Linked DNA regions of Coturnix japonica. The protein of the gene in region 2 binds, or shares a complex with, the protein of the main gene of each other region. Links are inferred from orthologs where the notes say so. Each region holds a gene or a part of one and is shown on either strand. Other genes may lie near its edges. The genes, in order: ESR2 and NCOA5.

Region 1 (3,811 bases), on a different chromosome or scaffold from region 2:
CATTCCCATTTAGAAACAGTGTGGGAATCACAGCATGGCACAACTCTGCAGCACCGCCCGTCTATCAACCCAGAGCAAACTGACATCCAGACGTTTACTGTACAACTGACACCCTCTTCTCCCCAGTTTCCCAGCCATTTGCTTCAGGAGTGCACATCAACTCGACGCTTTTATAGCAGAACAAAAAATAGCACTTTGGTGTTTCTTTGAAAACAAGCTGTATTAAACAAAACAAACACACAGGAGAAGGAAAACCAGAGGAACAGAACTACATCGTGGGGAGGCCGGGAGGTGATGGCACCCAAGGATGTGATTTGACAGCAAAACTTCCCTCCAGATGAGTAAGGAGCCAATGAATTCAAGAACTGAACTTACTTTTTTTTTCCCTTTTTGTTTTCTTCTTTTTGTAGTAAATATGAGATAGGTGAGAAGGGCGCTGCTATATTACAGCTCTTAAAAACAATAGAAAGGTAGCCAGTAAAAACCCAGGCAGCAGCAGCATCCCGTATAGTACAAGATCAAAATCAAGACAAGAAATTTGTGCAACTCTCTGATGGTGCTTTATGCCCCTCCTATAAAAATACTGTCCCGGGCTTCAAAAAACACCAGGGTGAAGGGTCTGCAAGGAACTCAAAGCATGCAAAGGGGGAACGGCGCAAAGTCCCTCATCCAAAAGACTTAGGCTCAAAATGGACTTTTGGGGGTAGTCCCAGTTTAATGTCACCGCACCTGCAATGCCAAGAACATGCATGTATTATAAACGCCTCCACTGATAGCAACTGCAATCGTAGCTCACATCAAAATGCAATATTGGCAGTGACTGGAACAAATGGTGAGGTGGTCAGATGTGATATTTCCCTGCATTATTTTCCTTAGAAGGTGTCTTAAACACATGCAGAAATCAGCACTACAGGGAGGCCTCAGCCTGCATCCCAAGTGACATTCAACTCCAATGAGCCATCGCGCCTGTGAAACAAACCTCTGAAGGATCCTGCACAAAATAAGGAACAGCTTCAGGTGTCACACACTTGGAGAACAAGCAAGCAGCAAACCTGAGGGCAGCAGCTCTGCTCAGCCTCCCATCCCCTGCCTCTACAGTGAGGTTGGGGTGGGCAGGACCCAGACCCACAGGCAGTCAGAACGGGAGGGAATGCAGTGCGTTTCCCCGCTGATCTCACAAGCCCCGGTTAGCAGAGCATATATGAACGCACACAATGTTCACAGAGCAACCTTTTGTACCTAAACGTTATAATAGATTCAACATCGTTAATAAATATATAAAACAACATCTGCATCCCACAGACAGAACACATTTCAAAGGTCAGCACTGACTGAAAGAAGGTGGCAGTTTGGTGCTGGTTTAAAGCGCTGAGGAATTATACACAAGTAATAACATGGGTGTTAAGAACTTGCTCACAAAACGCAAATGTAAGCTTGGTTTCACATTTCTGAAGAGGCTCTGAACTGGCCCAAGATGCTATTCAGAATGGCCCTCAAACAAGGGCCCACGCAGCCATTGCATATTTAAGAACAAAGAAAACTCCTTTACACTGTGCACATCACCTGCAAAGCAGCATTCCCCAGTGCCCAGCACGCACAGGTAAGCAGATCCATCCCAAACACTGCTGCTGTATATTTCATACTGCCTCACACTGAAAGGAGATCAGTTAGTCAGTGCTCAAAAGGATTGGGCTGGGACACAGAGAGCAAGGCCCTGACCCCTGGCCCCGACACAGACCTCTGTCATCTCAACCCGGTCACTTTATCTCTTTGTCTCAGTTGCTTTTAAAAAGGAGAGGCGATAATTCCCTGTCTTGCAGGACTGTTCTGAGGCTTAATTTCATAAGGTGCTTTTAAGAGTCTCACAGAAGGCACTATAAAAGTGCAGCTATTATAATGTCAGAAACAGACAGAGGTGTGCGCCTCGCAAGCTTTTCCCAAGGTATCCCACAGTAAATCTAGGAGAGATGAGGACTCGCACCAGGTCACGCTCCTGCAGTCCCATCACAGCAGCTTAGTTTTCTCCCATAACTTTCAGTAAATGGAGGCTGGGTACAGCCTGCATTACAGGGCAGCCCCGTAGTTCTGTTCAGACCTGGAAATGTGAAACTTGTTCAAAGTCAGGATGTGTGACTGGGGACTTTCTTTGCCCTCGGAGCGTGTGCGCGTTCAACATTTCCAGCAGCAGGTCATACACTGGGACCACGTTTTTGCACTTCATGCTCAGCAGATGCTCCATGCCCTTGTTACTGCGAAGGAAAACAGAGAAAATAAAGTCAGTGATGCAGGTCTGACAGTACAGAGAAGGAAAACACTCATGGTTTCAGGAGTTTCTTTTTTATGAGTTAAGAGACATAACTGCTGCAGTCTGTGGGATCACCTACTGCTAACAGCAGTAACAACATCCTAATGCACTCAGGCTGTGATCTACCATCTAGAGAACCAAGATTTGTGCTTTCTGACCCAAACTGTCATCAGAAAATAATCCAGATGTATCACTCCTATTGAGATGAAAGAGAAAGCTTCTTTGGTGCCATAGACATGGGAGACCCATGTGCTGCAGTTGTAAATGAAAGGGGAATTCACACCACATTAACAACCTACGTCTCCCAACTGGCTGAGAGGGAAGACCATATGATAGTGGCTAACTTCAAGCAGTTGGCTTCCTCTCTGCATGTCCAGTGTTAGATCTTGCAGATAACTACAGGCTTTAAGAATCCTCTTTTCTTCTGTCATACAGCCAGCTATGATGACACTTTGCTGACTGAGATCTCTGCAGTTGTATCACTACCATATCACTATGCCAGAGTGTGGGATCATTGCCTATTTAGCCATACTAGGAAGGATAGTCTTACAAAACAGAGATGAAGAGCATCCCTCAGGGGCACTGTGGAGTTCTAGACTGACTCTGTCACTCTAAGAAGCAAACACAAACAACTGGTATATCTCTCACATCCTGTAAGATTTACCTTGCATGTCTGACATGGGAGAGCAGCATCAACAGGTTGGCCAGGCGAGTTGTTTGCTGCTGGGAAGGGATCCCACTCTTTGCAATAACCCACACCAGAGCATCTGTGACCACATTGAGCAGGTGGTGCAGCTTCCTGTTGCTTTCGGGTTCTTCTGCTGACAAGGGAAACATGCCTAGCAGAGAAGACAAAGAAATCCTGCTTGTGAGGCACAAAAAACTACGACCATGGGTCATCTTCCAATGTAATAATTCACAGGATAAGAAAAGTTGTATTTCCTGACACACATTCACACAGCCCAACACAATGCAAACAGCACTGCATGTAACACACCAAGCTTCAGCTTGTATTTCTTCATCCAAATTGGATTTCTGCATCGATTGCATAGTGATTGACTCTCCCAAATCCTCCCAAGACAACACATTGAACATAGACTCCACAGTCAGACTGAGCTCTGAGCTCTCTGTCTGTGGGGAAGCAGACATGTTCTCCATTCTCCAGGGCTTTTTCCTTTGAATCACATTACACCATACATTTTAGTTTCGTTCATGCTGAAAAGAAACCCCTTTCTTCTCCAAGTAAATCCAAGGGAAGGAGGAGAGCAGCTATTCTTACTGACCGCTGTAGGCTCCCAACAGCTCACCATGGTGCCACAGGACAGCACCTGCCTACCATGAGACCCCTCAGAAGTCAGCAAAAGCAGAAGAAAGGGGAGTGGGGAGGAGAAAGAAGAAACTGCCACTAGGAAAGCCTGGAAACTCTCGCTAGTATTCTTGATAGAGAATCCCAAAGATGCTTATGGATGGAGAAAGCTCCAGAACACCCCGAAAAACAGAAGTAAC
Region 2 (3,911 bases):
TACTTTTAGATAACAGATAAAGTTATCATTTAAAGGTCACTTTTGAGGGGAAGCATTAGTCACTCATCTCATCAGCAGCAAGCAGCATTTGACAAGCACGACAGTTATAGTTCTGACTGAATTCCCAGCCACGAAGAGCCATAAGATAAAATACTAACCCCTGATTTTGCCATATTTTGAAAATATCTCTTCCATTTCTTCCCGAGTCATGTGGTCTGTGGGCAAATTGCCGATAAAAAGTCTTCTCTCTAAATCCTGAGGTTTGGTGCTGTTAGTGAAGTCGCTCTGTTTGATGCTATTGCTCTTGCGTCCTCGGGCCATTTTGCTTTCGTTCCAAATCCAACTCTTCGCAAAAAAGAGAAATGGCCACGCATATCATTTCAATCCACGACATTCAAATTAAAACTGGAACAAGATTAAACTTAACAGCTTTGCAGACTAGAAGCCAACCGGGGCTGTTTGACGCAAGCTTCGCTCCAGAGAAAACTTAACACAACTGACACAGAAGGTGGACAAAGAACGTGCACTGCAGCATCTGGGGTGAGCTGTCTGTAATACAGAGAGGTAGGAAGCCTAATCTACTTCATGGGTGTGTTTTAGTGTTTTATCTGTGAGCTAAAATAGAATTAAAACTCATTTCTCACTGAAGAAAACGCAGCTTTCCGATACACCCATCGTCTTATCTTTTTCTTCTGTTCACTGGTAAGAAGTGCTGAGGTTTAAGCGGTATGTTAATAAGCAGAAAGGAAACGCTCATCTCAACATCGCACAACAGGATCCAATTATTTCTCGATGGGCTTTAAATGAGATGTCACAGGGTACTTTTAAACGTGCTTAAGTGACTACACTTGGATCCCTTTCCCATAGGGGACAGCAGTTTCTTATTCATTCTGCTATTGAGCAGCCCCACCACCACAGCACACCACACCACCTCCCACTGCAGGCGGGTCCACAGCTGGGAACATCAGCAGCCCTACAGGCAGCAGCAGCATTCAGCAACAGCAACAGCTCCAGCATAACACTGGGAAGGAAACAAACCCACCCACAACACCCAGTAGCCCAAACAAAGGAGCCCCCCCTTCCCCAGGACTCACCATTAAAAGGTGAACCCACAAGGTTGAAAACTATCTGAAGAGTGAAGTGCAATCCCTTCCATCGCAGAAATACAGGACAGGGAGGAACTCAAGTTAAAAACATAAAGTACTGTGAAGTTGAGTAAATCAATAGAGACTTGCGGTATCTGCCATGAGATGCCTCCAACCAACACAGCCCCTAACGACAACCTGCGTTCACTGCAATCTGAAAGCATCACCTACATAAATGCACCACACACCTAAGAGCATCAGATGGTTCCACAAGAGTATTTCTACCACACTCAGCATGAGAAATGAGCATGTTCAGGATTACAGACATACCATTTTGATTATGATTTTGTTTTTTTTTATTTTAAAAGAGCGTTAGATTTACATTGGTATCACTTGTCCTCCTTCCCACAACCAGGAAGGCACAGATCATCACCCACTGCAACGCTTTGTTTCAATATGAACTGAGCTTCTAGAACAGGAAGGGAACAGAAACACCCAACAAACCAATAGGAAACATGGGTGCTGACACACCTTATTCACTCCAGTCCTCCTGTAGGTTTGCTTCCCTGCTACGCACACACACAGCTTTACCCACTCCATCCAGAGCAGCAGCCCCCACCCCATTTCCCTTTACACAGGCATTAGGTCTGGTCCTACAGGGATAGAAACCAAACGCTCTGCAGGGTCAGAACAGAACCTGAGCACTGCAGGGCAGGACGTGGGACACAGCAGCCAGGTGGGCACCTGGACATTTATTATACCCAGGATGGGCTCAAGGCCCTGTCAGCAGTTCGGGCCGTGCTCAGACACACACAGCGCCCCATTTGCCATGGGCACGTTTTCCTTCCTGCATACAAACCCTCAATACTCCCGTCCTTTTCCTACAGGTGGGGGTGGCGTTGGGATGGAACCCCAATATCAATGCTGTGCCTGGATACTCACTGCCCCACCCCGAGCACCGACCGGGGCCAACCCCGCTGTGCAGGGCCCGCCCGGAGATAGAGGTGTTAGCGGGCCTGAAGCTCCGTCACTCCATACAGACAAACCGCGGCTCAGCCCCGCACCACCGAACCCATAAACCCCCACCGGCTGCAAACGGGCGGCGCCCGGAACCCGAACCGCCCCGCGAGGCTCCGAGCCGCACGGCCCGGCCCTTCCCAGCGGCCGCGGGGTCCCTCCATTGCCCTCCATTGCCGCCCGCCGCCTCCTTCGGCCCCGGGAAGGGCGGAGCTCCGCGTTCCGCTCCTCCCTCCTCGCGTTCCGCCGCGCACTTACCGCCGTACCGGGCCCGCTCCGCCTCAGGCCGCCGCCCGCCAGGACAAAGGCGCCAACCGCCGCTGTCGCACGGCGCCGCCGCAAAGCGCGGACGTGAGAGCGGCCGGAAGGGAGGGCGCTCAGTCGCGCTTTACGGCACGGCGCGACGCGCTGACGTAACGCGAGCCGCCATGGCTGCCAGAGAGGGAGGCTGAGCTCCCGGCATGCCCCGCTGCCGCAATGCACCATGGGATTTGTAGTCCGGCGGGGCGCGGCCGCGGGGCGGCGCTGTCCGAGTAATGGCGGCATTGCTGCTGGGTTATGACAGCATTGCTGCTGGGTATGACAGCATTGCTGCTGGGTTATGGCAGCATTGCTGCTGGGTAATGGCAGCATGGTGGCAATGCAGAGCACATGGCTGCAGCACAGCATGGGGCTCCAGAGGGATGCAGGTCCTGCAGGATGCAGCTGGGGCTGGGGACGGAGCGAGGCCTTGCTGTGGAGCCAGACACCCGCAGCACCGGGAGCTGCACCGTTCCTGCGGTGGTGCCCATCGGGAGCATGGCAGCACCATAACGTTGTGCTGGAGGCTGTGCAGTGTGACTGCATGATGTGCTGGGATGGCACGGACTGTGTAAGTCCCCCCGCAGCACACACTGCACCCTGCACGTCTGTGTATGGGGAAGTGTCTGACGGGGACGGGATGGGAAGTTCCACGGGGATTGCTGCGGGATGCAGGGCAGGCAGCCCGGCTGTGTGCAGCCTCAGGGCCCTGCTGTGCTTCTGCCTCTTCCCGTACTGAGCTGATGTGATTCTGGGAACTCTAAGCAGATGCCGGAGCCCATGGGGAGCACGGAAGGGCCCTGTGGACTTCTTAAAAGTGAAGTGAAACCTCGCACTTCTGCATGAGGAAGGAGCTGTCGGGGCCAGATCAAACATCTCCTCTGCTTCCCAGGGCAGATTCCTGCCTGCGGCCGCTCCTCCTTCACCCAGGAAGCAGCCGGTTACACGCTGACATCCACCCGTAGCTCGGCCGGGCCGGTCGCACCGTGCGGGGGAGCTGCGGGCACAGCCCCGGCCCCGCACGGCTCTCGGTTACGCTCTGAAGCTCGGGAAAGTCCCGGGGCGGCGGGTGCTGCCGGTGGGGACTTTGTCTCGGGACGTTCAGCCCGGTGACTGCAGGATGGGCGGCCCCTGCGGCCCCTTCCTGGGCGGAAACGGGTCGAGGCGTTAATATCGGCTGCCCGGCTCCGCACGGCTCGGTTCGATTCGGGTCGGGTCGGATGGGCGCGGCTCGGGCCATGGGGCGGCTCGGTCTGGGGCTGCTGTGCGCGCTGCTCCTGAACGTAAGTGCGGCGTCCCGCGGGGTGGGAGCGGGGCCGGGCCGGGGCTGCAACGCTGCGCTCCGTGATCACGGCCCGAAACGGGACCGGGATGCGGCGATGCTTTGCGGGGTGGGGGGGGAGCGCCCGGCGCCGTCGGGCCGCTGAGCTCCGGTCCCGGGGCCGCCGTCCAGCGCTGTGCCGGGAAGGGCTCGGGGAGCCCCTGGCTGGGTGCCCGGAGCACGGTTCC

Evidence for each region.
Region 1: the proteins of NCOA5 (region 2) and ESR2 are in contact, whole or in part, in a crystal structure (PDB 4ZI1), measured with the Homo sapiens proteins. The link is inferred for Coturnix japonica from reciprocal best matches to the Homo sapiens genes NCOA5 and ESR2. Residues at the interface, in NP_066018.1 of Homo sapiens: Ser344, Leu345, Ile346, Leu348, Leu349, Ala350, Asp351; in NP_001428.1 of Homo sapiens: Ile310, Lys314, Phe319, Leu324, Gln327, Val328, Leu331, Glu332, Leu490, Glu493, Met494.

Annotation. Positions count from the first base shown.
Region 1 is NC_029520.1:48,239,311-48,243,121, reverse strand, and holds part of ESR2 (estrogen receptor beta), read right to left. Parts: intron 3,145-3,811; coding exon 2,970-3,144; intron 2,250-2,969; coding exon 2,090-2,249; 3' UTR 1-2,089.
Region 2 is NC_029535.1:9,592,229-9,596,139, forward strand, and holds the start of NCOA5 (nuclear receptor coactivator 5), read right to left. Parts: upstream 2,478-3,911; 5' UTR 2,361-2,477; intron 346-2,360; 5' UTR 322-345; coding exon 159-321; intron 1-158. UniProt on the Homo sapiens protein: Nuclear receptor coregulator that can have both coactivator and corepressor functions.